2 linked regions of the Diceros bicornis minor genome follow. The protein of the gene in region 1 interacts with the protein of each later gene in a pairwise test. Links are inferred from orthologs where the notes say so. Each region holds a gene or a part of one and is shown on either strand. Other genes may lie near its edges.

Region 1 (15,881 bases):
TCCTACCTCCCTGCAGCTCCCCAGAACTCATGCTTACGGAAGACAGCAGCCTGGAAGGTTCAAACATAGAGCTACATCTACAGCCACATTTTGTGTACTTACACACATGGTCAGACACACTGAGTGGGGACACTGACCTGTCATCACTCCTACAGTGGTCACGGTCTGATGGTCCCAATCCCTGCTCACTTTCTTCTTTCCTTCCTTCCTTCCATGTACCTAATATTTATGGAGGGCCTACTGTGTGCCAGGGAGGGTCAAGGGAGCTAGCTGTCACAGACATACCCCACAGTCAAAATCATGCACACACATACACACACACACACACACAGTTATCTGTGCTTACTCACACACAGGCTGCTTTCTTGTATCTTTCTTGCCATCACCTCAGCCACATCCACATTTTCCAAATACACTTGGGAACCACCATGGAAGGGTCAAGTATCAGAGCAGAAACTCTCTAGCCTACCCCGCCCCTAGACTTCATGCCAGAGGGTTAGCTGTTCCTTCCCTTCTCCTTGCCCACCTCTAAGCTCTCCCCTTCCCCATTCATAAGCAGTCGGGGAGACATGTGGGCAGACTTTTGAGAACCAGAAGTCCAGGGGCTTTGGGTGTGTGGACGGGTCCCAGGGCCTGCAGGTTCCTCTGCCACCAGACTCCCGAGGGTCCTCTCCCCTAGCCACTCTGTACAGAGATAATCCATCTGACGGGCAACAACGTCCAGGCCTGGGCTCAGTGACAGATCCGCTCTGTCATCTCCCTCTGCAGAGACACAAGGTGAGAAGTGGTCAGTCAGAGCTCACCCTACCAGACAGCCCCTTCCCAAACCATAGGGCCTGCTTGCTCTCCTGCTTCAGCCTGGCGCCTCCCTGCCCCGCTCCCAACTCCAGGCTGCAGATCTGGGTTTGTAAGCTGACACTTGAATGAATTCTCTATTAAAGTGCAGAATCCATGGTTAAAAGAGTTGCCTTCCCCTAATTTATCCACCTGGGTACTGGATTTTCTTAAAGCAGGTAGCCTTTGGATCTGAAGACACAAAGGCTAGCCCTGCTTGGGGAAGGCAGTGGGGGCCTGGCCTCACCAGTGGCTCCAGCTCCCGCTGGTCCACCAGGCTGAACTCGCGGATGAAGTAGTAGAAGTGCTTGTAGCAGGTGTTGACATGCGCCTCAGCCCCCATGCTGAGGATGCTGTCGAAGTGGTGGATGTAGACGTGGACAAAGACACGGAAGAGGCGGGTCAGGATCTTGGTGCAGACCTGCTGGAAGTTCTTGGGGAAGGGAACTCCTAGGAGCGGGGATGGAGAGAAGTGGGGGGATCAGCACCCTGATGATGAAACTCTGCCCAGCCCTGCCCTCCCCGACACAGGCAGCCTTGGCCCAGGATGCCCTCCTCCCTAGCACACTTCCCTGTGAGAGACAGAGAGAGATCATGACCACTTTCTCCCATCCTTCCCTTTTCAATGAAGCACAAATTTGACTGTGCCTCTCCCCTGCTGAAATACAAATCTTCTTCCACATTTTCCCCTCACCCCGAGCAGGACTCTGCAACCTTGTTGGGGTCACTGACTGACCAACCCTTCTTAGACTATGATGAAAGTTATGTCCAAATTCTCCCCAGAAACATGTGCATCTGCAGATGTTCTCAAATGATGCCCTTGGATACAATTCCAAGGGGAGTTCATCAACATCTGGGGTCCACTTTTAAGACCACGAGCCTCAGGATTAAGTCCTGACTTCCCAGCGTGGCGCCTGCACAAGGCCTTTCATGATCTGATCCCGACCTCCCTCGCCAACCCCACCTGGCTCCTTCCTCTTCACAACATTCACACAGCAGGCCTCAGATCCCAATCCTGAGAATTACTGAATCTGCAAGAACTAGTTCAGACATCTCTCATTCATTCATCTATCCAATCACACTTAGAAAGAACCTTCCATCTACGAGCCAGTCCCTCTGCTGGGCCCTCTGTACCTTTTGCCTGGTATGGTAGCCATTCTACATATGATAAGATGGAGGTACACAAAGGTGGAGCCACTTGCCCAAGGCCTCATAAGTATTCATCAGTATGGACTGGAGGCAGGATTCAAACCCTCCTTGCACTGCACTGCAGCACCCCTCAGAGATAAATGCCACACACCTTGCCTGAGAGAAGCTCCAGGACCTGTGAAAAAGGCACAATTTCTACACAGCCCCCGACACTCAAGGTGGAGATCTTGGTGGCTATGCCCTCTTCTCTGCTGTGGCAGAGCCATCCCAAGGTTAAGGCACAGGCAGCTGGGGTCTCACCAGCCCGGGGGGTCAAGGCTAGAAGGGAATAAGAGCCCAGACACAGCCCCACACTGGCCCACCCCACTCCATGGTGCTCTTCTCCTTAGGTGGGGTTGGGTGGAGTTGAGCCCTGCCTCCCTGTGAGCCCTTCCAGGCCCAGCCCAGGTCCCTCAGACTTGTCCTGCCCTAGACTTGGGCCTGGACCCTAAGAGACCTGAGCTGCAGTTCTGAATCCCTCCTGATTCAGTGTGCTGTCCCTCTCTTGGCCTCGGTTTCCTCCCATGTGAAATGAAGATTCCCATTGTTGGGCATGATAGTGCAGGAAATGGCAGGACCCCAGCTGGGGAGGGGCCGTGGGCACTGAATTGTGACTCAGTGCCCAGCTTCCCTCTACATTCAGACTTCTGCCCTCTGGGCTTGACCACCCTGCCCCACCCATCTCTGATTCCCATAGCCTTCACAAGGATGAACATGAGGCCAGGTGGGGGTGGGGCTGCTGTGATGAACACAGTGTCATGCCTGCTCAGCTCCTGGGCCAACACCCCCTCTTGTTGCCCTTGGGTGGTGAAGCCTGGCCAGGGTGACATCACTCATTTCTCCTTCCCACCCGCACCTGCCCAGGCTGCCCAGCTGAGATAAGAGAAGGCCCCATGGCTTGGGCCTAACAAGGGAAAATTCTGCCCTCAGAGCCCTCTGAGGAGATACCACCTGGCCCACCCAGTCCCCAGCCCCTTCCCTTTCCTGGGGCCAGGAGTCAGAGGGAACTTCCAGGAGGCTGCAAGTCAGATCAGCCCAAGCTTGGCAACCTGCTAGGAGCACTCTGAGCCACCTGTTTTGGAAGGTTCTGAGAATCACAGTGGCCCTGCCAGGTGGTCCCTAGAGGGACATTCAAGTTTCAGACAAGAAGAGCCCCAAACTGGGAGTCAGTCAGTCCCAGCTCAAGATGCCTGACCTTGAGCAGACACTTAACCTCTTTGAGCCTCAGTTTTCTCCTCTATAAAATAGGGATGAGGGGCCAACCCGGGGTTCGCAGGTTTGGATTCCCGGCACCAACCTACACACCACTCATTTAAGCCATGCTGTGGCGGCATCCCACATACAAAACAGAGGAAGACTGGCACAGATGTTAGCTCAGGGACAATCTTCCTCACCAAAGAAAAAGATAGGGATGAAAATCACCCCCCCACCCCGAATTGCTGTATCAAACTCCATGCCTCATCTGTGAAATGGGTTCCAGTGGCTCTGTCCCTCCCTGGCCAGGCCTGACCTGCCCATCAGGTGGCACTCACCAATGCGTGTGGGAAAGACATCCTCGTCATTGATGAGGCCCTCGATCCAGTCCATGAGCAAGGCCATATAGCGTGGCGCCGAGAGCTTGGCAGGCCGCCGGTACTGGCGCTCGTCCTGCCAGCGGTACTCGTAGCGGGGCCCTCCGGCCATGACCGGGCAGCTGGTCTCGCTGCAGCGCTCCGCCATGGTGCCGTAGATGAGGTTGATGCGGTTGAAGAAGTCCACCACGTGCACGGCAATCCAGTCATCGATGTTCTCGCCAGGGGGCAGCCTCACCACGCTGCGCAGGTCCAGGCCTGACTTAAGTGATGCCTGTGCCTTCTTATACAGCTCAAAGCGCTGTGTGCCAGGCTCGAAGCGCTTCCGCGGCCGGAATGTCTTGTCTTTGGCGAACACCTGCTTCAGGCACAGCGCCATGGCCAGGCTGGGTCGGGGGCCAGGGGTCCAGGGGCAGGACCTGTGGATGCCCCGCTGAGGCCAAGGGCACAGGGGAGCATGGTGGTCAGATCCTTACCAAAAGGGCTTTGACTTCCCAACACATCATTTCCCTCTCACTTCTGAGCTTTTGGCCAACCTCTGCAGCCTCTGTCTGCAATCTAAATCTTCCTCATCCCCTTGGTCCAGCACCCCTGCCCTATTTCCAGGCTACCCTAGCCCCTGCTGCCAAGCGCCCACAGCCCTCCCATCTTGTTTTGTTTCCTCTCCACTTTCATTGCATCTTACAGAGGGCTGGGCCTGGGCTCTAAACAGGTGCTCCTCAGACTTGCGGTTGACCATTAGAGAGGTGGCAGAGGCTTCCTGCAGGCCCCTCAGGAGGCAGGGGCCTGGACGTGACAACCTCTGGGGGCCTCACAGGCCAGCTGGTGCAGCGTGGGAGAGCTTGGCCACATTGTGCTAGGGGGAGGGGATGGGGGAGGGCCCCGCCTTTGGCTTCCTCTGGGATATCCCGTAGTCCATCCGGCCACCGGGGATTCCCAGGGAGCAGGAGAGACTTTTCTACCAAAAATGTCCTTTCCTTTCATTACCCTGAAAGAGGAAAGAGCTCTCATATGGCCAGCTGTGTGGCCTCTGAGTGTGGCCACAGGCACTGGAGGAGAGGGGAAGGGTGGCAGGTCTAGAAGGGAGCCACTTCCTCCAACAGTGGCTGGAGATCCTGCCCCCAAAGCTAGCCTCCTCCAGCCTGAAACCCAAACCCAAACCCAAACAAGCCACTGGCCCCTGCCACAGCCCCTGCCATTCAGGAGACGTTCTAGAGCACCTACTATGTGCCTAGCACCGGGAGGTAGGAAAATGCAGTCAGATCCACCCAGCTGGGCCCATCTAGAATTCAGACAAATTTGCTTTGCCTTTTAGAATTGAAGGATCTCAGACTCAGAACAGACTTTGGGGACAACAATGAGAGCCCGAGGCTTGGAGGCAGGAGTCCTGGGTTCTAGTCCCAGCTCTACCATGGCTGGGTGACCTCTGTAGCAGGCATGGAATTGGCTCATGCAACTTCCTGGGTCACTCTGATACTTCCTGGGTCACTCTGGTACAGGCGAGGTTTCTGGGACTCCTGGGGCAGTCATCTCACATCTCATCTCCCCTGTGAGCGTGTGAGCTCTTGGGAAATGCAGACCTAGGTACCTGCTGAGACTGGAACTTAGGCACAAACTGAGCACTGGCCCTAACCCCAGACTGAGAACCGAGCTCTGGCTCCAGGCTGAACTCTGACCTTGCCCTGACCCTGGTCAATGTGAGTCCTGGACTCTAGCCCTGGACTGAGGCTTGAATACAGCCAAAAGCCTGGCCTTGGCCTCAGAGCTGACACTGGAGCCTTTTCCCTTCTCATATCTCTAGTAATGCTGCGACAGGACTGGGGAAGGAATGATGGGAACAGGGTGACGACTGTGTATAGCCAAAGTCACAGCACATATGGGTGGGGGGGAGGTGTCACAGCAGGTAACAAGTCAAGGTAGTAGAGGAGAAGTTTGGAATGAAGGTTCTTCCTTGTACCCACATCAGGCAGGCCAGGAGGGGAGAGTTAAGTAAAATGAGAGGAGTTTGGAGAGTAGGGGCAGGTCTCCCAGCAGAATCTTGTCTTTTTGAAAAAAACCTCAAAGATGTGGCAGGTCATCTTATCCATCCTCTGCCCCTTGACTTCTCACCCAAAGAAGTCCCCAGAGTGGGACCTGAGCTTCCTGACCCAAGAGGAGATTTCCACGCTTTACTTGCCGCCTGTGTTCTAAATTCTGCTTGGGCAGGTGCTTCCAAAATCGCTCACACTAAATTCAGGTGAGGTTCCTGGCTCTCCACATTCACACAGCCCCCTTGACTGAAAGTTACTAATAGACTCTCACCCTGGCATTCAATACCGCACCCTACCTTTCCTGCCCCACTTCCCTACACCCACCACCCTGGGCTTCCTCCCGATCCCTGAACATGCCCCCCACCCTCCTGCCTCTGTGTGTTTTCTTACATTGGTCCCTTTGTCTGACTACACATGGTCAGGTGGAAGGCTACCTCCTCCCACAGGCCCCTCTTCTGAACCCAGAGCTCCTTCTCCTTGGGTGGACGCTGCTCCTTGGCCATTGCTGTCCCCCAGCCTAGGTCAGAGCCTGCGACACAGTTGATGCTCAGGCTTCAAGGAAAGCTTAGAATAAAGAATCTCGGGGTTGAAATAGGCCTGAGAGATAACTGGTCCAACCCACTTCTTGTACAGATAGGGAAACTGAGGCCCAGAAAGGGGACTTGAGGAGACTGTGTTCACATAGCAAGTTACAGGCAGGGGATCTTCAACGGCAGAAGAGGGAACTGGGAAAAGGTAGGGCTCAGCCCATGACAATGAGCAAAGGGCCATTTTCCTGCACTGACTTGTCGCTGGTCTGGTGGAGATAAGGGAAAAGGATGGGAGTGCAGGAAGAGGGGACACATCTTCCCACCGACTAGACCAACCTAATTCCTGCTGCTCCAACACACTAAGCACCCCTCCTCTTCCCCCACAAGCAGCTTGGGTGTCCTGACCAGTGAGCCAGAGTCCCACCTTCCTGCTGCAGAATTTCAAGGTCTGGGCCCTTCTCCAGGAAAATGTAAGCTTGGGTGTGGGGGGATTGATAGGTGCCCTTCCATCCACGCCACTTGTTTCTTCACTTCCCACTCCCATGCCCTTACTGAGTTTCTATCCCTCACAGAGCCTCTGTCCCCTCCCTGAACCCTGGCAATTCCCCCTCCTAGCCAGTTTCCTAACTCTGGGTGTCCTTTTACTCCTAAAGTGGCCAGTGATGGCTCACACCCTGAGGGGGGATCTGGGCTTCCCAAATGAAGACCACAAAGTGGCCCTGACTGTTTCTAACAGTTAGCCCCCTGCCAGGGCCACACCTGCACTCCCCAGGCCTGGCCCAGGATCTTGGCCAGGGGATGGCCCCAGTTTGAACCCAGAATCCAGCCTAGGGCAGTGCCATGTGGCGGGCGCCCTGCAGGGCAGAGATCCAAGAGAAAAGTAGAGGCAGAGACTCCATGCTCTTCCCTGGCGCTCGGCCTCCCCCGGGACCCCCTGACCCCCACCCCTCTCCCTCGCCCAGCTGCCAGGACAGACCGGTCGTAGGACCCATAGGAGCAGGCCTGACATTTCCGCTCCGAAAGACACGCCCCTTTCAAACACCGCCACCCCCTCAACCCCGACTTTCGTAGCTTTGAGCCTCGGACCCCGGACCGAGGACTGCGGCCAGCCTGCCTTCGGGCGGAGGTCGCCTCCGGACAGTGCCACGCCGGGGGCAGTCGAAGAAATGAAAGGGGAAGTAAGGCTGGGCCGCGTGCGCGGCGGGGGCGCTGGGGCGCGGGCGCTCACTCACGGGGTCCTCGTCTGGCCGCGGGGTCACATCCCCAGCGCCGTGGGTCGCCTTCTTCTGCCAGTCCTCCCGCCCTGCCGGTTCTCTCGCCTGTCCGCCGGCCTGCCCTGCCGGGTCGCTCTCGCCCTCCCGCCCCCGAGGCGACGCCGGCTCCGCCCCGGTCCTCCCCGGCCCCGCCACGCCGCGGTCCAGGGGCGGGGAAGGGGCGGGGAAAGGCCCCCCCCACCCCCAATGCACAGACACACTCTCTGTCGCTTTTCCGTAAAGTCCATATCGCACTCCCAGCTTCCCCAGGTGGCACTCTCAGTGTCTCAGACTTTTACCAAGGAGGCAGCCTCAGCTTTCTCGACTGTAAAATGGGGACAAGCTCAGCTTCTGTCTGGAGCAGAAACAAAAGATTTGCTAGATAATGGTGGTTTCCTTTCCCTCCTAGAATCAAGTGTGTCTCACTTGTCCCTGAGTTCAATAAGAGATCAGGTCTGCCCTATACACTTCCATGCCTTCAGCTCCTGGCAGAGTGCCTGGCACATAGCAGGCACTTAGTACCCATTTACTGAATGAATGAATGCCTTGGGAATCATGAGTGAGTCCCTCACCCCAGCACTTGGCAGTGAAGAGTGCTCAAATCACAGACTTTCACCTCCCCCACCAGGGCTGGCGTCACTGCTCAGACTGGGCTGATTCTCCTCACTCCTCACCCAGAATCACCCCATTTCCCACCACCAGACCTTCAGTTCCTGCTGTTCTCACTTTGGAATATCTTCTTTTTCTCCTTCCTTCCAACCAAATCCAAACCCTTCAAGACCTGATCCCCTCTCCTTACTTGTCTACCTAGGTTCCTCCCCTGAGGGCAGACAGATATCCTACACCAGCTCAATGCACACTGTGGGCCCCAGGCCCAGGGACCAGTTGGCTGGTTCTGTCCTGGGATGGGAGGGAAGGTTGGAGATTTTCTAGGGTAGAAGGGCCAAGACAGACAGATGGGCTGCTGAAGTCACCCTGGAGGGGTGTGGGAGGTGAGCAGGGGGAGGTAGGGGAGAGCTGGAGGCTGGAGGTGGGCATTTATTGTGGTGCAGATGCCTCACTGGGCTCCCCTTGTGTCTGGATCTTCTGCTTGCTAGATGGCATGAGAATACGCTGGATCCTTAAGAATCCCAGCTCACAGAACCGAGGATTTATTCTTTTGTTGAGCATCTACTTTTGTCCCCGTATAAAGTTTTCTTTTTTTTGCTGTCTGAGTCTTAACTCTGCCCCAAATCCCCTATAAACAAACATTTGCGTGCTCTAGTGTATGCAGAAGGAATTCAAACTTAGTCTTTCATTTGTTTGATATCCTAATCAACACCCGTTACTGAGCATGACTCTGCACTGAGAGCAGGGGATCAGGTGATGAAGCTGCCTCAGCCCCTGACCTCAGCTGACCACAGGTCCTCAATGGGGGACGACACACAGAGATAACACAAAGTCAGAGCTCAGTCTTCTAGAAGTGAGAACACTGATGGTGAGCACTTTCTAAGAGTGAGGTTATCTACAGGAAACATGTGGAACACCCAAATTGGGCACTTTGAGGAGAGTTTCAAGAAGGCATCATTTAGAGGTGTAGTCAGGGTATATGTAGACCACACAAAGGGCTAGCAAGAGCAGCCCTTTGCTGTCTACCCTAGCCTGAAGGGGTGCTGGGAGGGAGTGGTAAAAGTGGGAGCTATGAGGAGGGGGCTACTGATGGGAGCTGTGGCCTAAGCTCGAGGGGCATACCCAGCCCACAGCAATCATACTGTGAAGGACTGGGGGAAAAAGGGGCCTCACTTCTCTCCCTTGCTCTGATCTCTGGCCTGGTTTCCCCACTGGCCAGATCCTACCCTTGTAGCCAAAGTCAAGGGAACCTGTTGATGCAGCGCATAGAGGTCGGCCTCCTGGGGCCTAGAGCTGGGAGGAGGAGGGTGAAGGGTGCATCTGGGGACAATGGAAGGCACGTAGCACATGGGCTCAGGGACTTGACTTCACAAAGGAAATAGAAACTGCTTGTGCTTTCCTTATCATTCAGTTCTAAATATTTCATAATTTTATTGTCATTTCCTCTTTAACCCATGGATGATTTAGAAGTGTGTTTTTTAGTTTCTCAGCCTATGGGAGGTTTATGTTTTTCTTGTTGACTTCTAATTATGTTGCATTGTGGTTGGAGATCATGGTCTGTAAGATTCTTTGGAATGTGATGTGACTCCCTCTGTGGCCTTGTCTGTGGTCATTTGCTGTAGCTCCGAGCTGGGTTTTATAGGATGGGCAGGAGTTTGCCTGGTGAAGAGTGAAAAGCACAGAATCTTACATTGTGGGAAATATAGATGATCCATTTTGAAGGAACTTCAGAAGTTCCCAGCTCATCCACAGAGCCCCTGGGTGTCAGTAAAAGTGGACAGACAGGTGGAAAGGAAGCCAGGTGGAAGGCTGGGAGAAGCCAAAGATAGTCCAGATCTCTCAAGCACCTGTACCCCTTCCTGCAGCTCTCAGTCTGGGCTCGAGAGACCGTGTTCTTTCAGGAGGCTCTGCTGGGGCTGAGAAGACCCAGACCATGGAGAACAAGGTTCTGGCTTTATCATGTATTAGCCGTGTCATCTTGGTTACTCCTGCCCTCTCTGATGGCATGCTGTTCCCTGCCACTGTGTCCTGAGTATAAGTGGCTCAAATAAGGCCCTGTCTCTGAAGGTTGGTAGGAGCCAGCGAGAAGCTAGTTGAGGACATACCCTCTCCCACTGCACAGCCCAGGCTCCTCGATGGGAGCTCTAAGTGGCACCAGAGTGGTCTCCAGACCCGTGCTCCTGCCCTGCTGTGTGTCTCTGGGAAAGCCTCTGCCCCCCTCTGGGCCTCAACTGGCCCATCTGCATCACAAAAGCATCTTCTAGCCATACCATTCCAAGTGCCTTATTGGGACCAGCTTCCTGCTCCTGCCCCTGTGGGCCTGTACAGTGACTCCACTGATACAGGGTGGCCTCTCCCTGGGGGCTCCCCAGCCCTTCCTTTGCCAGGAAAAGTCCTCCAGCCCCACTCCTCTCAGAATGAGCTACAATATCCCCAGCTCACTCCACCAGGCACTGGCAGGTCCTGTAGCCTGATGGGGCCTGCCTCTCTTCACTCTCTCTCCCAAGAAAAAGTTTCTATTCAGCTTCTGCCCCGCCCTGCCCAGAAGACAGGATCTCCCATCCTGGGTCTTCCATGCTGGCACATGGAGGAAGAAGCGAAGGACACCCTTATGGCAGTAAGAGGAATTGAGGTTCGACTTCCTTTACCTTGAAGAAGACAATGTTCAAGGGAATGTGACGGGGAAGACAAGGTTGAAAAGGATATACATTAAATTTCTGTGTGACCTTGGGCAAGGCCTTTATTCTCTCTGAGCCTATTTCCCCTTCTGTAAAACAGAAACAATAACAACAACAATAATATGTGCCCCACGGAAGAGCTGTGAGGATCGAATGTGAGAGCCCTTGTAAGCAGCAGAAGGCTGTGGCCAATCTTTTGGGGGTGCTGCCTTCAAGCACCCAGAGGCTTTTGCGTAAAAGAGGGATTGCACTGTTCCTGTGGTCCTGGAGGACAGGGGCAGAGACCTAGGACAACACAGGAGGAGACAATCAGCACACCAGAGCTGTCTAACCACGCAGCCTGGATGGCTGTACTCATTTCTCGGGAGGGAAGTGTGCACACTCAAGTGGCACAGCCCCCTGTGACACGGGCTTCAGAGGGTTTCAGTCTCTTTGAAGAGCAGGAGGACCCTCCTGACCCTGAGAACCTCAGACTCCAGTCTCTGTGCTCCAAGGTCCTCCTCCCCCCCAGCTCCCCATCCACCCCTTGATTTGGAGGCTTTGCCCTCACCTATCCAGGTCTCAGGTCTTCCATCCTGGGAACGAGACCTCAAGAGACTGCGGTGGAAGCCTGGTGTGCATAAGGGCCTTAGGATAATTTCACAGTCTCCGCATGACCTGACCTCCAACATGTCCTGGTAGGCCATGCCCCCTCCTCCAGGTACATACTCTCCAACCACTTAGGTTAGTTCCCAGGTCAGGGGTGTCCCAGGAGTGGAGGGGATAGTTGGGGAGTGTGGTTCACCAGTGTCTCAGGCTCAGTCTTCCATGGAACCCACCACAAAGCCTGCACAGAAGTTCTGTCCAACTCTACCCCTTCTTCTGCCACGTTCACCTCCGGGGCTGCCTGCCTGGAGCACCACCCAAGTTCAAAGCCCTTCTGCTACAGGAAGCCTCCTCAGACTGCCCCAGTTCCCATGGCGCTTTCTTCCTTCTTCCACAGCATCCTTTCTCCAAGTGTCTTCAGTAACACCTGCCTCAGAGTCACCAGTGGACTATCTAATTCTGACCAAGCCTGGCAATCTAACTCTCAGTTATAGGAAGGACTGGAAATAGAGGAACAAGTGAAATGACATTGTCGGGGGGGATGAAATCAGCAAAATCCGGAATGAGGAAAATGCTATAGGGCAGATTCTCAACAAATAAACGGCAAGAAAACAAAAGAGATGAGGGGACATCAGTAAGTTAAAAGTGACTTAATATGGAATACTGCTCAGCAATAAACAAAGCAACTATTGATACTTGTAACAACTTGGATGGACTTCAAGGGCATTATGCTGAGTGAAAAAATTCAATCTTAAAAGGTTATATACTATATGATTTCATTTATGTAAGTTCTCAAAATGACAATATTATAGTGAAGAACAAATCAGCAGTTGCCAGGAGTTAGAGTTGGGGAGGACAGTGACTATAAAGACAGAGAACAAGGGACTTTCTTTGGGTGACAATTTTGTATCCTGATTGTGGTTCCACAAACCTACACATGTGATAAAATTTCATAGAACTATATACAAAAGGAAAAAATTTAAAAATGAGTACATAAAAAAACTAGTGAAATCCAAATAAAGTCTGTAGTTTTAATAGTATTGTACTAATGTCAATTTCCTGGTTTCAATAATTATACTATGATTATGTAAGATATCATTGGGGGAAGCTGAGGGAAGGGTACACAGAAACTGTATTATTTTTGCAACTTCTATGTGAGTCTAAAATTATTAAAAAATAGAAGTTTTTTTAAAAAACATTTAAAAGACATATCCAGTTGCAAGGTGTGGATCTTGTTTAGATCCTGATTTGAATAAATCAACTGTTAAAAAAAGTTATGAGATAACTGGGGAAATTTGAATATGACTGTACATTTGATAATATTAAGGAATTGTTATTTATTTTAGGAATTTTTTTTTTAAAGTACTTGTCGTTTAGAAATATAAACAGAAGTATGTGTGGATGAAACAATATGATGTCCAGGATTTGGAGGGAAAGTGGGTTGGGGTATAAATGAAACCAGATTGTCATATGTCGAAAATTTTTTATGTTCAGTGATAAGGACTTGGGGTTCGTTATACTATTGGCTCTACTTTTGCATATGTTTGAAAATGTCAACAAAAAGTTTAAAAAAGAAAACACACAAGTGGATTTCTGGGCCTCTCTCACAGAGATTTTGTTTCAGTGTCTCTAGGGTGGGCTCAGGAATCTATTTAGCAAGCTCCCCAGGTGATGTTTATATAGAAGACTAAGGTTGGAGAACTTTTGCTATAGACTAAATGTGTTCCCCCCAAATCACATGTTGAAACCTAATCCCTAGTGTGATGGTATTTGGGGGTGGGGCCTTTGGGAGGTGATGATGTCATGAGGGTGGAGCCCTCAGGAATGGGGTTAATGCCCTCATAAAAGAGACCAGAGAGCTCCCTTCCCTTTCTAACATGTGAGGACATAGTGAAGAGATGGCCCTCTATGAACCAGGAAGCAGGTCCTCATCAGATACCAAATCTGTGGGTGTCTTGGTCTTGGACTTCTCAGCCTCCAGAACTGTGAGAAATAAATTTCTGTTGTTTATAAGCCACCCAGTCTATGGTATTCTGTTATAGCAGCCTGAACCGACTAAGACAACCTCTTTCTGTTCCACATATGACTTGTGGGGTGGGATAAAAATGGGGGATCTCCCAGAGGGGTGGGATGATGTCTTCTAGTAATAACAGTAGTAAATTAGTATAGTTTTAACATCTTAGAGAGACAGCATGGTGGGGTGGAAACAGCACCTCTGTTTCATTCATTTGTTCATTCATTCCTTCATTCTGTCAGTATTTACTGAGGGCTCACTAGATGTCAGGCACTGTTTCCGGGCCAGGTGCTGACCTTGCTCTTGCTTTGTGGGTGATGACAAAGGCCTCAGTCTTCTGAGGAACTTCCACCAGGCCCAGGTGTGGCACTTCATAGCTCACAAGACTGAGGCTGCAGAAGATCATTAGCAAACAACAGGTCAAGGAGGGGGTAGCTCCAAAGGGGAAGGGTCCTTGGCTATCAGTCTAATCTCAGAGTACGTGGGAAAACTAAGGCACAGGGAGCAAAAGGGATCAGTAATGATAATAAAACCATTCCATGAACCTTCTATATACCTGTGCTTGAGACGCCTTGTCTCATTTCTTCCTCTCATCAACCCTGGGAGGGAGGGAGGTTTGTCTTTCTATAGCTAAGTTGTCCTTCCCTCCAGAGGGAAGGATGGAGGGGCGGGAAAGAAAAAGACAGTTCCACTAAGGGAGAAGCAGGGATTGGACATGTTAGGATGACACTGCAAACTCTGCCCTGCAGTTCTCCCAGGAGGACCCTTAGGCCCCATCTTGGCTTCATTTCCTGGAAGTGGGAAAACTGTGTCCCCTATAGCCAGGAAGCAGCAATTCAGGCAGTGGGCAGGCTCGCTTTTTGGTGGAGCCTCACATTGTACCCTGTGGATCTGGATTCCACAGCAAGTACAGCCTGTGACTTCCCGCCTGTCATGGGGCCGCATTTGGGGCTTTTTCAAGAAGTGGTTACAGGAGCGCAGCTTTGCCCAAGGCTAAGGGAACTAAGGGTGTGCTCTTCTTTTCCAGGAAGTCTTCCTAAAATATACCAGCTGCCTGGAACCAACCCTCCTCAGGGGGGAGCCCTTGGCATAGAAAGTTCTTAGTGCTTGCAGATATGCTCCTTTGGTTAAGCACATGAAATTCCGTCTTCTCTTTTGGACTGCAAACCCTGAAAAGTGGGCTCTTATTTATTTTACCTCCTCCCACGGAAACTTGTAGCAACAACTGACAGTTGTAAGGAACTTTCTGGTTTACAAAGGGCTTTCACCACTCTGGTCACTTCTGAGTCATGCAACAACCCTCAGAGACAAGCATATGCTCCAAAAGGTGAAATGACTTGGCCAAGAGGCACAGCCTGAAAATAGCAGAGTTGGAACTCAAACCCTCCTAACTCCAATCACAGGCCCCCCGCACCCACCCCACACTGCCTGAGCACTTAGCAGATGTTCTGTTTAGGAGCTATCTCATATGACCCACCCAGTAAGTTAGGGAAAGGAGAACAAATCAGTTTGAAAAGCTGATCTCATCCCAGAAATCTTCCCTAGAAGTAAACAATAATCAAATCCTTGTTTTTCAGATATTTTCCAGTTGGGTTGCCTGGGACCAAAGTGCAGAGAAAATTTGCAACAAAGAGATAGAAGAATGTTGCCACCAACACTAGACACTTTTCTAAAAATGTTCTCCTGGGAAAAAAATAGATGATAACACAGACACTTGTGCCTGATCCATATTAAAGCAATTAGCATTAAGTTCATTGACCATCCTCAGTAACCTTGACACCACCTTAGATTTCTCACTCACTCTTTCAATACCCTTGCAAAATCTGCTGAGGTAGGTCATATTCCACACAGATAGAGAATATTCTACATAGAGAGAAAGTCATTTAATGTGAGCTAAGGGTAGGAAAGGAGAAAGAAACAGGAAAGAGACTAAGTACAGTGAAGAGAAGGGGTTCAGGAAACAGAAGGCTATCTGAGGGTCACTTGGTTTTTAATGTAGAGGGTCGCCTGCCTCTGGGAAGAAGGCACATGGTAGACCACCACTGAGATACCAGAGCTTCCCTGAGACCTTGACAGCATTTCCCTCTCCACAGGGGCGTCCAGCGGACACAGTGCAGGCTGCTGGCTCTGAGAAAAACTGAGAAGGGCAAGAAAGTTCCAGCTAATCAATCCCAGCTCCAATGGGGTGTGAGTCTCCCAGCCAAGCTCTGTAGTGAGTTCCCATCCATCTCCCATCATCATGCCCTGCCCAGCTCTCTATACATCATCCCCCTCTGCTCCCTCACCACAGGCAAGAAAGAATGCACACAGGATAGATGGAGAACTTCAGTCTACACAGGCAACACACAATTCTCCAAGTAGCCGATGGGCCAGGCACAAATAATCCAGTGCAACAGATAATCCAGCATTTGGCTTCAGGAGTCACGAGCCTGGGGAATTCTCAGCTCTCACAATCAAACAAGGAAGCCATCTGGACTCCAAGAGTCTGGGAAGGCCTCTGCTCTCCTCTGTTGTCCCTCAAGGTTGTCACCTGAGACATCCTAGGAACAGCTAGTCTCATTCCAGAAATCTTCCCTAGAAGCAGACAAT
Region 2 (15,962 bases), on another chromosome or scaffold:
GGAGAGAAAGACAGAAGGTCTCCTTCACAATACTCTGATAACCTCTACGATCTCCTAAAGTGATGGCATCTTTTCTTGCAGTTTGAGTACTATCCCCAGAAATTCTAAATCTATAGGTCTCGGGTGGAAATCTTCAGGCGATTATAAAATCCAGCCAACTTTGGATACCGAAGATATGCTTTATTACCAGCTCTCTCCTCAAAACCCACACACACTACACAGGTGCTTCTAAACAGCAACATATACACGTTTCATCATAATTTTCCTTTCTTTAAAACTGCTAAATAGTTTGCCCATTTGTTAACAAAATAAAATACATCCAATTTTAGCGTGACAAGAGATATTCCATAACCTGGAGTCTGTCTAAGAGATATTCCATAACCTGGAGTCTGTCTACCTATTCAAACTTGATTTTTCATCCTGCTCAGCAACCAAATTATCCACTTCTCGGACAAATCAAGACATCAATTTCCATTTTGCTCGTGCTGCTTCCAAATGCAGTGCCTGGAGTGCCCTCCCCTCCTTGTTCAACACCTATTCTCATTTAACACAATTAAGTTCAGGAGCCAATTCTACAAGCTTCTCCTAACCTTCACAAGCAGAACTGATGACTTCTTTCCTTTAGTGTCCTCACTATAACCTGAACACACCTCTAACATGGTATCTATCATTTTATTGTCACATCTGTCTCTCGCCACTAGACTACAAGTTCCTTGAGGGCAGAGAAAATTTCTTACTTATATGTTTATCTCCAGTGCCTTGCATCTGCTAAGTAAGTAAATTAAAAGGGCACAAAGAAGCCAATCTTAGATACACTATAAGGTATAGTCCAAGACACACTACTAAAAAGTTGAAAAACACAAGGGAATGAACCCGTTCTTACTGAATCGAACACAATCAATGTTAGAACCTATACAGTTAGACAAAATGGTTTTTAATGGGCCATAGGCTCATCTTTAATATCTATTTCTCCTTCTTAGTGGAAGGTTTTTCAGACTTTCTTCCTCAATTGTTAAAAACAAACCTTTGAGCCTTATTTTTGCCAAATGCAAAGAGGGCTGGTACATCTGTCCCACCTTTGCTTTAGCCACTGACCTCAACATACTACAATTTGTAATTTCAATCAGATCACTGATCTGAATTCAGCTGTCTACTTTCTGGGAAGTAGATAACTAAATCTATAACAATAACACATTTAAGTGCTTGTTTTAGGTTTAGTAAACTGCAAAGAGTTGACAGAATGTGTAATTTAGGCTACAAAAATTTCACAATTGGGTAGAAAGTGATCTAAACCAAGATACACTGGTAATCACTATTATTAAAGCAATTTTAAAGTCCTTTGAGCCAAACGGTCAAATCCTGTATGAGCTAATCACTGAACTTGACTCTATGAAGATACAGTCAGTTGTCACTCAAAATAAAAACTATTTGTTGTCCTGCACATCCTTATACTCACATCCTTATAAAGAATACAGGGATTTCTCCGAAATAGAAGGCTCAGAACAGATTCCGAAAGCATATTTAGACTCTCCCATGAGCACTCCTTAACAACCAACATCCGATTAACAGAAAAATATCAAACTTTTTAAGTATCCGCTACAATTTTTTGGTTACCTCCATGGAATTAATGAAAAAGGACTTTTCTTACAGAAAGTCCAAGAAAGAAAGGTAACTCTTAGTGACATACTAAGATCTGGCCCAACTCCTCTCAAACAAGCCTCCTTGAAATTTAAAAAAAAAAAAAGGGTATGTGAGGCAAATAGAATGAACTGCCCCCGGCCTCAAACTGAATTCTTGCCTGCAGAACTTCAGGACTCTCATTTCAATACTTTTAAGGCAGGAGAAAACTAATGCAAGATATTCTTCATGAAGCTGAGAAAAATTGCATGCATGATGAGAAAGTCTCAGGATGTTCAAAGAACTGGATGGCTAAAGCCTCTGAAGGTACGAAAAAGGAGAACTGGATTGCTCTCTAGAATCAAGAGTGATTCCATGAGGTAAAGTGGCTCCCAAACTGACAGAACTGGTAACACTGAGACATGAAGTACCAGGCCACACACACACAATCTTCTTATAGGACAGTTATCTGCGATGAAAATGGGTAACGATCACAATAATGATTATCGTTTACTAAGTGATTAGGTGCTGGCATATATACTTTGCATACATGAGGAAGCTAGACGTTAACTCATTTATTTGCCTGCCAAGAAAGTAGAGGATTAGGACTCAGGTCCTCCTAACCTTAAGCCCAAGAAGGCTCTTACAGACTGTGTTATACTGCCTCCTACAGGTATCAAAGGCTACAGGGCAGTGGAAAAAAAAAATTGAACCCTGCCCAAAGGAAGAAATAAGTCAGTTGAAACTGTCACTCATACTAACAAGACAAAGAGATTATGTAGGTGGTACCAGGGGTCAACAGCAAAGTAACACCCCAAACTAAGGTTAGTTAGAATGAAAATAGAGAAATGATTAGGATCAGTTCAGAGTGGAAACATCCAAAATCCAATCAAGGGAACCAATACATAGCCTTAGACAAACATGCCTTACTAAAGTATACTGTCTTCAGTCTAATGAAGGAATGTCCTAAGAGAAAGATGGTCTGCAGATTGTATCTATAAAAAGGGAGTTTCAAAGAGACAAAGGGGAAGGGAGGGATAATTCAGAGATCAAGTTGAGAAAAGGTTTTACCTAGGAATGAATTTCCTGATCCAGATATATGCCTAGGGGAGAAGGATGCTAAGTCTATTATAAGGTTATCCAACTAATTCCCCTTCCTCTGATTTCAGGTTCACTAAGCAGCTAATTATAATTTGCATTCCCATTCAGATTTGCCTACAGGGAGAGAAGATGCTGATATGAGGAGTAAACTGGTCCACCGTACAACAAGAAAATTCATTCTGTGTTTCTAAAATTTTCTAAATAACCAACCTACCATTATTTAGAAAAGTACACTTTCATTTTCACAAGTCCCCCACCTCCATCATCTTACTAAATAACTTCAAGAATACATTACTTAACCCTTTAGAGCCTCAGACTCCTCTTCCGTAAAATGGGAACTTACTTTGGAGAGTAAGGTAAAGGTGTGTTTGGCATATGGAAGACAAGGAAATGTTAGTTCTATTTCTGTTAGTTCTATTTCACTCCACTGCCCAAACTCACAAAGCTAGTAATTGCAGAAAGCTGAGATCTGAACCCAGATTTACTCCAAAACCCGTTCTTTTTCCATTACAACATTCCTCATAGGCTCTAGTCTCAGTTGTCACTAAGGACTCTAAGACTTAGGACAATTTACTTAAGCTTTCTAGGCCTTATATTTTTAAGTGACCTTCCTTCTAGGGCTTAGGCAACTAAAATTTGTGCAAAACCTATTGCCACTGTCCACTGGGAAAAATAACCCTATGCTTTAAAGCCTTAACTTCTGAGAAACATCTGTGCTACGGACTTACTGGATAGTGCCTAATTAACTCCAGTATAAGAGTTCCGAACAGCAAGATCACTCCAATAAAAATACAGAGGGACTAATATCTGAAAGTTGCCTCTCTAAAACCAATGACCGGCTACCAATACAAAAGAATGAATTCCATCCACCACCACAGATTGTCTACAAGTCTTAAAAGGAGGAGTGATCAACATCTGTTTGGCTTGAAAAGGGATTATTGAAATGCTAAGACTACTATCTTTAGACTGGAAATATTAAAGCAAGTACTAAGAATTAAAATATGGCTTACTTGTTTTGTAACTTACAATTTCAAGGAGTTTGGTAAATATATTCCCTACCAGTCTAAATCAACTACTTGATACAAACAACCTCGTATTAAACATTTCTAATATGCTAAATTTAATGTAAACTGCATTTATAAGAAACTTTTTGAAAAGAGGGATTATAGAAAATCTCAGCACAGAAATCTGGGTAGAAGGAAACAAGTAAAAACTACAATAATTTACCAAAGGCACACCTTTGGTAAGAAAGTTCAACAAGAAGTTCAACGGAGATGAATTTAGTAAAATTATTCACAAGAAAAAGGAGTGTTATCCAAATAGCTTCCTCTATATTTACATACTACTCCCATATTTCACATTATCCTGACCTGATGATAGAATTTTCTCGGTTGGATGTTTTCCTGAAAAGGGTAGCGTCAAACCTTAAGGAAACTGTTTAATTCATTCTTCAAAGATGTGCCAGATTTTACTTCCACCAGCACGCTAAAAGACTACGAACATAAGGCAGCTTTTCTAAAATCACAGCAAATAAAATTCTCGACCGCAAAATCAACCTTTTAGGGTTAAAACCTTCAACCTCGCTTTATTAAACTTTCCTTTTGATTTAATCTGATGGGCCAAGAAATCTGAGTCATAAAAAAATAAGCCAAATTCAGCGCTGCGATTAGAAAATTGCCATTCCACCCCCCTCCCCGCCCCCAACGCTGATAACTTTCGAAAACTTGTTCCCAGCCTCTCCAAACCCCCACGCGGAAGATCCCTGCACCTCTCTCCCAACGGGAACGATGCCTTCACCCAGGAAAGTGGTTTTAAGGGGACAAATCTTGCCCTAAAAGGTCTGAAAAGTGGGAGCAGGAGCTACCGTACCTGGGCGTTGGCTTCGTGCAGTTTGTGCTCGGTGGAGACGTGGTGCCTCAGCAGAAGGGTTTTCTTGTAGTTGCGGGTGCCTCGCGAAAGCTCGTCGTGCCCCACCTGGGGAGGGTCCCCGCTGGCCCCGTCCTCGGGGGGCTTCTGGCACCAGCCACACGACATAAGGCCAGTCTCCTTGGAATACCGCAGCCAGGGAAAATCTTTGAGCCAGGAGATCTGGAAGGAGCACTGGAGCTTCTGCATCAGGGACTTGGGGCGCGCGAGCGGGAAGTGCTGGACAGTCTCGCCCTCGCCCGCGCCCGCGGCGCTGCCCTCCGCGTCGTCCCCGCCATCGCCGCCCGACCGCCTGCTGCTGCTGCAGCTGCCGCCTTCCGCCCCGCTGCCGTCGCCCAGGCTCGCCCCCTCCTCCTCGTCCTCGCTGCTGTCGCTCAGGGACGCGCCGTCCGGCACCGGCTCCTTCCCCTCCAGCGCGTCCAGCTCCAGCTCCACGGCCGCCGGCCCGCGCCCATTGAAATGCCTCAGGGGCCACGCCGAGGGCTCGGGGCGCCCGCGGCTGCTGCCATTGTTGCCGAGCCCCCCGCCGCCGCGGAAGGCCAGAGTCCGACGGTTCCTCTCGGCGAGCAGGGGGCCCCCCGCGCCGCCGCCGCCGCCCAGCGAGCTGGGGGCCCCCGCGTCGGCGGGCAGCAGCAGCTCCTTGGCGTCGTCGGCGGCCGGCGCGGCGGCGGCGGCCTCCAGGTCCCGCGGCTCCAGGCCCTCCAATTCCGCTTCCTCGTCGGCCCCCCGCGCACTGGGCTGCGGAGGCGCGGGCGGCGGGGGCTGTCTCGGCTGCGGCTGCGGAGGCCAAGCCGAGGCCTCCCCGCCGGCGTTATTGTTCGCGGAGCCGCCGCCGCCGCCGCCGCCGCCGGTGACCAACCCGCCTCCTCGGAACGCCAGCGTCCTGCGGTTCATCTCACTGAACGACATGGCGCGCGCCGCCGCCGCCGCCCGGCGCCCCGCTCGCGCCCGGCCCCGGGCCGCGTCCCGCGCGCTCCCCGCCGCGGCGCCCCCGCCCCCGCGCCGGCGCTCCGCTCTCGCGGGGCCCGGCCTCGCCCTCCCGCCCGGCCGCCCGGCCCGCGCTCGCCCCCGGGGCCGCCTCACGCGTCCGCCGCCGCCCGCCGGGCCGCCGCCTCCGGGCGCCTCCGCGTCCTCCGCCCCCGCCCCGCGGCGCTCCGGGCAGCGTCCCGCGCGGAGAGGGGGGCGGGCGGCGGGGAGGCGAGCGGCGAGCCGGGCCGCGCGGGGCCTCCGAAGTTGAGCGGCGGAGTGCGGGGCCCCGGGCTGCCCCGCTGGAACGCCGCGCGCGCACACCGACCCTCCGACAGATATCCCTCCTCCGGCGCGCCGGCGAGTCCCGACGCCGCCGCCGGCTCCCGAGGCGCCGCGGCCGAGAGGCACGTTACACGGCCGCGCTCCGCCACATAACGAGCCGACAATAAAGCCGGCGGAGCGTTTCCGTCCGACCAGGCCCTGGCGGAGGTCGAATGGCAAATGAACAACGGACCGTGCGCCCACAATGCACCGGGGTAGCAGTAACCGCTGGAGGGGGAAAGGGTGGGGGCCGGGCGGGGGGAGGGGGGCTGGGCCTGGGCTGGGCCGGGGTGGGGTGGGGGCGCCAGGGGACCGGGAAAGGGGCCGGGCCGCGCCGCCGGCCCGGGGGCGGGGGTGCGGCCGCGGGGAAGGAAGTGGGCCGCGGGGCGGGGGACAAAGGCCGGGCAGGCCGGGGGTCCCGGGGAGGGGCGGGCGTGCGCGGCGCGGCCGGGCTCGCGGAGGACGAGCAGCTGGCGAGTGTCAGGGCCGGCCGCCTCCCCGCCGCCCGCGCGCACCTCCCCGCGCCCGGGGCGCACATCGCCCTGCCCGCGCCACGAGTTCACCTGGGGCTCGGGGGTGACCGTGCCGCCGGCGCGCGCGCTCCGGCCGCGTCTGGTGCTGGGCGTGGGTGGCGGTGCCCGGGGCAGGGAACTTAGGGCGTCCCCTCACAAAGACGGGGCCAGGCGGTGCCTGGGGCGCGAGGAGCTGGCGGCCACGGACACCTCCTCGGCCGGGGCATTGTGTGCGCCGGGCCGCACCTCGGGCCCCGGGCGGTAATCGTTTGGCAGAGAACGCACCGCCCCGAGTGTCTTATTGCTGTGATGAAATGGAAATTTAAATAAAAGGTCGAACACGTGCGTTCACTGGGAAGTATTGACATGGGTGTTACATCACCAGCAGCCAATCAGATAAGCGCAGTCGTGTTTATACTTCTACAACCACCTTGTGAGTATTACAGTATGTCATAACGTTATAAATATTAGGGTTTTCCCCAGGAGCGGGGCGGAGTCTGCTGATACGGACGTGGTGTGCGACTCCGAAGACGGTGTGTTCAGAGGCAAGAATCAATTTTTAGGATTTGTTTTTTGTTAACCGTGTACGTTGCAGATGGAATTTAGAATGATGAGAAGAACAAATTAAGATGGAAATGAAACTCCTACCATCATCATCTTGGTCGAGTTTTTCAGAAAAAGGTGTTGCAACTTAGAGCCCTTATGCTCCTTATTTTTAACATTTCAAGACGCTAATGCAGAAATAGAAGTATAATGATGTACACCTGAAATTGATACAATGTTAATAAACCAATGTTACTGCAATAAACAAAAAATTAAAAAATAAATCAATAAAATTTCAAGACGCTAAATTTAGCAAATTCTAAAGTGTTCAGACTCATTTTACTGTTTTAAAATATGGAATCTTAAATTATTTAAACCTAGTTCAGGTAAGAAAGATGTTCTCAAACTATGAAGGGTCTTGTTACTCTTAAGAAATATGTTGAACATCTCATCACAAGCTAATATAAAATATGTTCAAGATAATTATTGAGTGGAAAAAAAGGATATTTATATGGCAGGATACATTTTTTCATGAATACAAGGATATGCATAGAAAAATGAGAAATACACATGAACTCTTTACAGTTAGAGATTATCTAGTGTTAGAGGCTTTAACCTATGTTATGGAAAGTTATATATTATGTTTTGTAAAAAGGATGTATTACAATTTTTAGGCCCTCTAGTTTTATGATTCTGTTCTCTTCAGGAATTTCTATTTTTAAAATAACAATATTTAAAGCTTTGAATATATAATATTGAATATGGTAGGTTTTTCAAGATTAACTTTAAAAAACAGATTTCCCCAGACATATTATAAAATACCATTTGTCTTAATTATTTTTAAATGGACTAAATACATACATGCACATCCAGACTCGCATATACTATTGATTGTATAGATTCATTCAAAGCAACTTTCACTTAATTAACTGTAATTTTGATATCTGTGTAAATAAGCAGTGTTGTATATCAAACAAGAAACATTAGTTCTACCTTATAGATGAAATGTAATTTTAATGTAAAAAATGATGCTACTAACCTGCCACAAAAAGATTTTGGCTGTGAGTTATTTTTCCAGTAATAATCATATTTTCACCTGGCCACCAGTGAGCAACAGCTTGAAATTCGGATATAGGTCCTCAGATTGGTACAGTTGGTGGGTTTTTTAAAAATTTTGTCCTGCTTTGTTTTAGTTGTTGGCAAGTTTAGGACTGCAGAATCTCTGACATTGTCCTAGTTTTTACCTTGGAGAAGTGAGAGGATTCTGCCTGCTTGGCTGTATATAATATGTGCTTCTATGTGATATATGGAAGAATGTTATAATAATACTGTGCTTTATCCTTAATGCATTTTTAAAATTCCAGGCACTTTGCAAATAAATACATTATTTATTATATTTTAACCACCACTGCTTCCCCCGTAAAAGAAGGTAAGAGTTAACTGAAGTTAATTGCTTATCTAGGCTTAAAGTGATGGGAAGTGAAAATGGACTTAAGAATTTTTATTTCAACTTTAAATGCTGTTTTCATTCCAAAACTGTTAAATTCATATCTTTGCTTCTTTTTGTCTCATATGCCTAGTAAGTACATAATAGGCACTGTATAAGTTTATGCCAGTATTATTATTTTTGCTTTCTGGGAACGTCAGAATCACCAAAACTGTTTGAATCCATAATGGTGTTAATTGTGTCAGGAGTGTATTTTTCTCAGACATCTATCTTAATATAAGTACAATATATACAAAATATAAGTACAATAAATACAAAATATAAGTATTTTGTTAGATGCACATTGTCTTCTCTCTGGAATTATGTTTAAACGTGGACTAATTAGGAATGAGTGACAGAGTCAAGTGGTACAAATGAATGACGTAGACTCTAGGACCACTGAACTCCTAACAGCCAAACAGTGTGAGTGTGGGGTATACGTATGTGTGTGTGTATGTATTTATATTTTTATCATTTTATGTGTATAAAGGTATATTCAGTTGTCTTCCTCTAGACCCTGAAGGGAGATTGAATCAGAAACAAAGTTCAAGAGGATAGTATTCACAAATGTCTCAGAATACCCTGTACAAGGGAACTTTGAGTAACAGAAGGGGATCTCCTATTCTGTAAATGGAGTTTTTAAGAATTCCCCCACCCCTTCCAGTCTCCTACCAGCAAGCATGGATCTGTTCTCCTCTCTAGCCCCTATATTTACTGTTGGGGTTCTACCATATTTAAGGGGATTCCCCTTTATACTTACCAGGGGAACCCCTCAAGAATGGGGCATCCCCAACCAGTCTGTCCCCTAATTTCACTTTAGGCTATGTAAAACCATTGCAGGTTACCTTGATCATCTCCCGCTATGACTTGGTGATGAGGCTGAGCTCCTATACCTGGTTCAGCTGATTTTCAATGGTTGAACCTAAGTGTCCTTTACTGCCTTGAGAGGCCCTTTGCCTCTGTGAGAGCTTTGCCTCTTTAGGTTCTGGGGACAGTGGCCTGTGATTCTGTCTGTAGAACTGACGTGTCATCCACCAGAATGAAGTACCTGAGAATAGAGACTCTGTATTATTCACTCTTATACTCTCCTACCCCAACCCCACCCTGGCACATAGTAGGCAATTAGTAAATTATTCAAATTGTTGAATAATTTAACTTCCCTTGCCGTCTCTTTTGGTAGGCAACATTTTCTTCTGTTCTTGTTTTTTTCTGTAGCTAAGTAAAAAAATATTCTTTTTAAAGATATTGAGCTAATATTTCCATTGCATTTATATTAAAAGCAACAATAATCATATATACATACCATGGAATGTTATTCAGCCCTAAAAAAGAAGGAAATCCTGCCATTTGCAACACCATGGATGAACGTAGAAGACGTTATGAGAAGTAACATAAGCCAGACACAAAAGGGAAAATACTCTATGGTACCCCTTATATGAGGAATCTAGTCAAATTCGTAGAAGCAGAAAGTAGAATCGTGGTTGCCAGGGGTTGGGGGGAGAGGGAAAGGAGAAGTAATAGTCAAGGGTACGAAGTTTCAGTTAGACAAGATGAATAGTCTTAGAGATCTACTGTACAGTGTGGTGCCTATAGTTAACAATACTGTATTGTATACTTAAAATTTTGCTAAGAGGGTAGATCTTAAGTGTCCTTATAAAAAAATAATAAAGTGGGCAGTAGGAAGCTTTTGAAGGTGATGAATATGTTTATGGCACAGATTGTGGTGATGGTTTCACGGGTTTATACTTATTTCCAAAGTCATCAAGTTATATACATTAAATATATACAGCTTTTTGTGTCAATCATACCTCAATAAAAGAGTTTAAGCAAAAAAAAAGCCATGATAATCATATAGTTATAAAATTATATTATTAGCGCCATTTTCTTTGTAGCTTACAGTGAATTACAGACAGTTTACACAGCCTCCTTGTGAGTTAAATCAGGGTAAGGAGTATTATCCTCATTTAACAAATGGAAAGCCAAGTACAGAAAGGTTAACCAATTTGTTCAAAGTTTATAAGGTTGCAGACAACAGTAATACCCTCCAGCCTAAGGCACCCTTAGCTACTAAAACACACATGAGACACTTAACAATGTTATATCTGCATAATTATAGGCTACACTAAATTTTAAACTTTTTTTTTATTGTTCAAATGTGCTCTTGGAGAAAAAAAAAAGAAAAAAGATCACCCATTATTTTCAATACCCAGAACTAATCACCATGGTGTAAATACAGTTGTCTTTTTCTGTGCCTAGCTAAAATTGTTTTTTAGTGTTTATGAATTAGATCTTAGCATATTTGTACTTTTAGTATTAGTATGTTTTAATATGATTAAATGTTTTTAAGTACCATTTTAATGGCTATGGATATCCGATAGTTGATTTAACCAGTCTTCCATTGTTGAACTTTTCATTGTTTATAGTGGTTTTTTTTGCCGTTATAAACAATTGTTTAGTGAATATCCCTGAAACTAAACTAAACTAAACTTATTTCTTTAAGATAAATTCTAAAAGGGGAATTTCTGGCAAAGGGAATGGACATTTTAATAAAGTCTTATTAGTATCACATGACTACCCTTCAGAAACACTCTCAAAAGTGTAAAAAGTGCCAAAAGAAAGTACTATTAGGGAGGTATTTTTATAATATTGGGGAGTGAAAGACCTAGTTTTAAGCAGAACACAAAAGCCAGAAACCTTAAAGGAGAAGATTAACAGAATTGACTATATAAATTATAAAACCTTTGTTTTTCAAAAACATAATAAACAAGGGTTTTTAAAAGTAAACTAAGAAAAAGAAATCTGGAATATATATGACAGACAAAAGCTTAATATCATTGATCATTAATATCATTAATAATTTCATCACAGAAGACTCAATCTATAAGACAAACACATATCTAGTAGAAGAAGAAAATATGCAAAGTACATGTATCAGAAAATCACATAAGAAATAACAGTAAACATATGAAAAGAAGTGCAGACTTGGCCAATAATCAGAGAAGTATGCATAAAAACACCAGTGGGTAAGTAATTTTTTAACCCATCAGAGGTATAGGAAAATGAATATAGTTGGGAATGTAGATAGGAATAACTTTTCTGGTAGGCTGTTTGGCTATGTGTATCGAAATATAAAATGTGTATATATCTTTTTACCCAGCAATTTCAGTTCTAGGAATTTCTCCTTGACAGTTGTTAAGATGTCTGTGCAGGGGTGTTTATTGTAGCACTTTAAAAGCCTAAAAAACTTGGGCTTCCATCAGTGTGGGGTTATTTACATACGTTATGGCACATGTCTGTAATGAATTATTGATAGCTATTAAAAAGGTTGATGTGGTATTATGTAAGTCCAAGGCCACTGGGCATAATTATGTTGCTGAACAAAACAGCCATAGTCCTTAGACCCATACGTAAGTTCGTATGTAAATATAAGCGTGGAAAGTAGTTTAAAAGGATGTTCACCAGAATGGGGACAATAATTATCTCAGTAGTAGAATTTCAGTTTCTAGAAAACTTTCTTAATACACCTTCTGTACTGTCTTATATTGAGAATACAATTTATATTGAGTATATAATCCAAAAAAACAATAAAGCTATTTTTATTTTGGGGGGAGAAAGTTTATTTTGATAATCAATGACATGTTTTCCCCCAGGACTTCTGGGAAGGAGTACTATTCATTCTTCCTTTTCTCCACTTATTGTGAACCACTCTTGCCCTGCCCCCCAAAAATAAACAAAAGATTTAAAAGATAAAAACCAGTGTTTCTTTTCTCAGAAAATTCCAATCCCTTTAAAACATTATGTATTTTTCAAAAGCTTAGGTTGATATGCATATGTCCAGGGAGGCATCTACAGGTATCTCAATAAAGCATACATTCTGGCCCTCCATTCCATTCCATTCCTACTGTGAAGCCAGTAATCTTTTCAAAATGCAAATCTGATCCAATCACCCCACCCACACTTAAAACCCTACAAAGCTTTCAGTTATTTTCTGTTGGTCTACATCTCAAAACACTTTTTAAATGCCTGCAGAGCCCAGCAAGGTCTGGCTGCCTTCCACCGCTCCAGCCTCGTCTCATGCCCGGCTCCCCACTTCCTGCAACACTCTCCTCCAGAAGCTAGCTTCCTCCTGTCCTTCATGTTTGCTTTGATCCCTGTCTGGCCTTTGCACAAGCTGTTCCCTGTCTGTAACTCTCTTCCGTCTCTTCTCCTAATTAACCCACATTCTTCCTTAGATCACTTCCTCAAGGCAGCTTTCTCTGACCACCCACACCCCCAAGATTCAAATATCCTGTTGCAGACTCTCCTAGCATTTTTTAACTCTCCGTCACAGCATTTGTCACAAATGCAGTTTTTAAACGTGTAATTATTTGGTTATTGCATACTCCCCCAATAAACTGATAGCTCCATAAGGGCAGGGACCATTTCTGGTTTTGCTCAATATTGTATTTCCAGCATTTAGACAATCAGTAAGGATTTGTTGAATGAATCAATATCAATGAATGTGCAAGTTTGCAAGCACTAGGTGCACACAACCTTGAACTTTCAACAAAAGACTAAAACATAGATCAAAGTTTTACTGCATTCTGTTTACTAGTAGAACAGAGATGTTATGGTGGGTTTTAAGTGGTGATGATATTTGCATGTTATACAACGTAAGGCATACCATAACGTATATGGTTGTAGGAAGATTGTTTTGAAATTCTTTTAAATTAAGGCTAGTGAATAAAAATAATTCCAGTTAAAACTATTAGGTCATTAAAAATACACAGAAATACAAAAACATTGCTTTATCTGTGAAGTTATGCTTCTAATTAAAAATTTTAAAAAATTCCAGATTTAATGATAACTAACCATTTTGTGATTGCAGTTTCTCTGTCGTCTAATAAATCACAAATAGGAGTTAGCTCACTGTATTCTCAGAGAGATGAAGTAAAAAGTAAAATGCCTCCTTTGTTTATATGAGTTGTACAAAAATAGATTCTTTTTACAATATGAATTTTTATATAGGCTGCGAGGAATGAGAACAATGGAGTAGAGGTAGGGGTTTAAATATTTATTTTTATTGAAGACTGAATTATTAAAACCACATATACATTACTGATTTTTGTAGGAGATCCATCCCAAATATTTAGTTACAGATACTGTTTGGTTCACAGATTTGTATCCCTGATAGCTCGATTAGCTAGGCTCTGTTCAGGCATGACAGATTTCACACTAATCCACCTCTTTCATAAATTTACCAGTGCAAACCAGTTAGCTTCAGAAGGATCAGGTGAGAAAGTATGGAAGGGAGAAAGATGCCAAGGCCTTACATGTACAGTGCTATGAAGAAATACCCTAAAACAAGGCTTTCTACACAACCTGATGCAGTAACTTCATAGGGGGCTTAAATGCCAAATAAGGTAACTCCTTCCCCCCAGGGTTTGTAGGTAATGTCAAGGTCAGAAAATGCCATACTTTGAAACTAAAGCTGATGAATCAGTGTATATCATGAGGTCAGTCTTTACAAAAGAAACGCACCATCCCAAAGATGTGATTCGCGTGGCTCTCCCATGTGTTCCAGATTGAGGGTACGTCCTGGGATTGCAATGTAACTGCTTCAAGGAAAACTCGCATACTTGCAAGTCTAGTCCAGGGCTCTTCCAACTGGGGTATGCTTAGCCCTGGAGGTATACAAAGAATTTCCAAGGGATATGTGAGCACATAGCTGGCTTGTAACAGAATTAGTTGTCAGGCTTTCAACTTCCATATGCACTCCTTTTCCAAAAAACTGAACTTCTGGAGAATGCGCCTCTCAAGCTGGTTTTCCTTTCCCGCTTACCCTTTCATAATCACCCTTCTCCCAGTTCACCAAAAACGGCAAACCTTTCACCCATCTCTAGTCTGACCGTGTTACATTGCCCCAGGATGGAAAAGGGGCACCAGGGACAGAGAAAGTAAATGTCCCTAATCACTTAGTAGCCATGCTGTTGCAACTCTAAAGGTTTCCAGCTTTTGCTTTCAACAAAACTAAAGAAGGACCTAAGTGAAGTGTTGGTTGATCATTAAAAATAATTTACAACGATAGATCACTAGGGGTTGTTTTTTTATTTTTTGAGGAAGATTGGCCCTGAGTTAACAGCTGTTGCCAGTCTTCCTCCTTTTTTCCTTTTTTTTCTCCCCAAAGCCCCAGTAGGTAGTTGTATGTCGTAGTTGTACATCCTTCTAGTTGCTCTATGTGGGGCGCCGCCTCAGCACAGCCTGATGAGCCGTGTGTACATGCGCGCCTGGGATCCGAACCGGTGACCCCTGGACCACCGAAGCGGAGCTCGAGAACTTAGCTGCTACGCCACCGGGCCGGCCCCTACTAAGGGTTTTTTGCACATCACTTGGAAGTGCTTTAAAAAATTTTGTGAGTAGCTATAACAGAGCCCCTTCTATTCCCACCATCCATAATTTTTTGTGAATGAATGTTCTCAGCATGTATTTGAAAGAAGAAAAAAGGGAATAAAATGTATGACAAACCCTTTCTCACTCTAGTAAACAAATTCTTGGCACATTAATTGGTTGAAAAAACTCAGCTAATTAAGAAATGTGTTTTCAATAAATGTTTCCGTCATGTTTAATATCATATTTATGTTGCTTTGACCAAATGTGCACTAGTAATTATAATGGTAACTCATTTCAGGATATTTTATAGCATTTAGGGTCAGAGAAATTTTTTAAATTACAATTAAATTGATAATAGACTTCTGGGTATAAATATCATATTATAAAACTGTGGTGAAGTAGAATGGAAATAAAGGAATAATGTAAATTTTACAACTATTTGTTCATATATTTTTAAATGAATGATGGTGGATATAAAATAATTGTGGTATATAGATTCCATTGAATGGGTTTTCTATGAGGATATAATTTTATTTTGTAGTGTCAATATTCACAACGTGCCAGAAATGGGTATTCATGACAACAATTTAAAAGTACAATGAAAATATCTCAGATGCCACCTTAAGAATGTACAAAATGATACATAGTATTTCAAAATTATTTGGGGGAGGACACTCGTCTGGTTCAGTGTTTCCCAAATGCTGTTTTTCACCAGTTGGTGGTGAAATGAAAAATAAAGACAATCTAGAGAATTTTTCATAAAGTTAAATTTGTTCAGTTTAAAATACTGCCTATTATTCTGAAATTATATCCTTTCTGATGTTTTAGACTTAAGACATATATTTTGAAATTATGATGTCAATAGATGGTAACTTTTTTTTTAAATGTTCTTCATTGCTCCCCAAAATGTTAAAAAGCTGTTTTTTACTTACAAAATTCAAAACCTTGAGAGAGCCTTGGTCTAACAGAATGTAAAGGGGAATATTTTATAAAACAGAATATTCTGGAATTATTGAGGAATGGAGACAGCCAGCTTACCACCTAGTTTAATGGACATAGCCAGCAAGCAGTTTAAAGGCCTTTTTTGAGTTTCTACTGTGTACCAAACACTAAGATTT

What was found.
Region 2: the proteins of MOB3C (region 1) and ZBTB10 interact in binary tests that used the Homo sapiens proteins (3 or more experiments, as listed by UniProt). The link is inferred for Diceros bicornis minor from reciprocal best matches to the Homo sapiens genes MOB3C and ZBTB10.

Annotation. Positions count from the first base shown.
Region 1 is NC_080752.1:9,460,401-9,476,281, forward strand, and holds the start of MOB3C (MOB kinase activator 3C), read right to left. Parts: upstream 7,507-15,881; 5' UTR 7,386-7,506; intron 4,027-7,385; 5' UTR 3,973-4,026; coding exon 3,555-3,972; intron 1,285-3,554; coding exon 1,082-1,284; intron 763-1,081; coding exon 733-762; 3' UTR 1-732. UniProt on the Homo sapiens protein: May regulate the activity of kinases.
Region 2 is NC_080772.1:31,171,189-31,187,150, reverse strand, and holds the start of ZBTB10 (zinc finger and BTB domain-containing protein 10), read right to left. Parts: upstream 5,630-15,962; 5' UTR 5,554-5,629; coding exon 4,588-5,553; intron 1-4,587. UniProt on the Homo sapiens protein: May be involved in transcriptional regulation.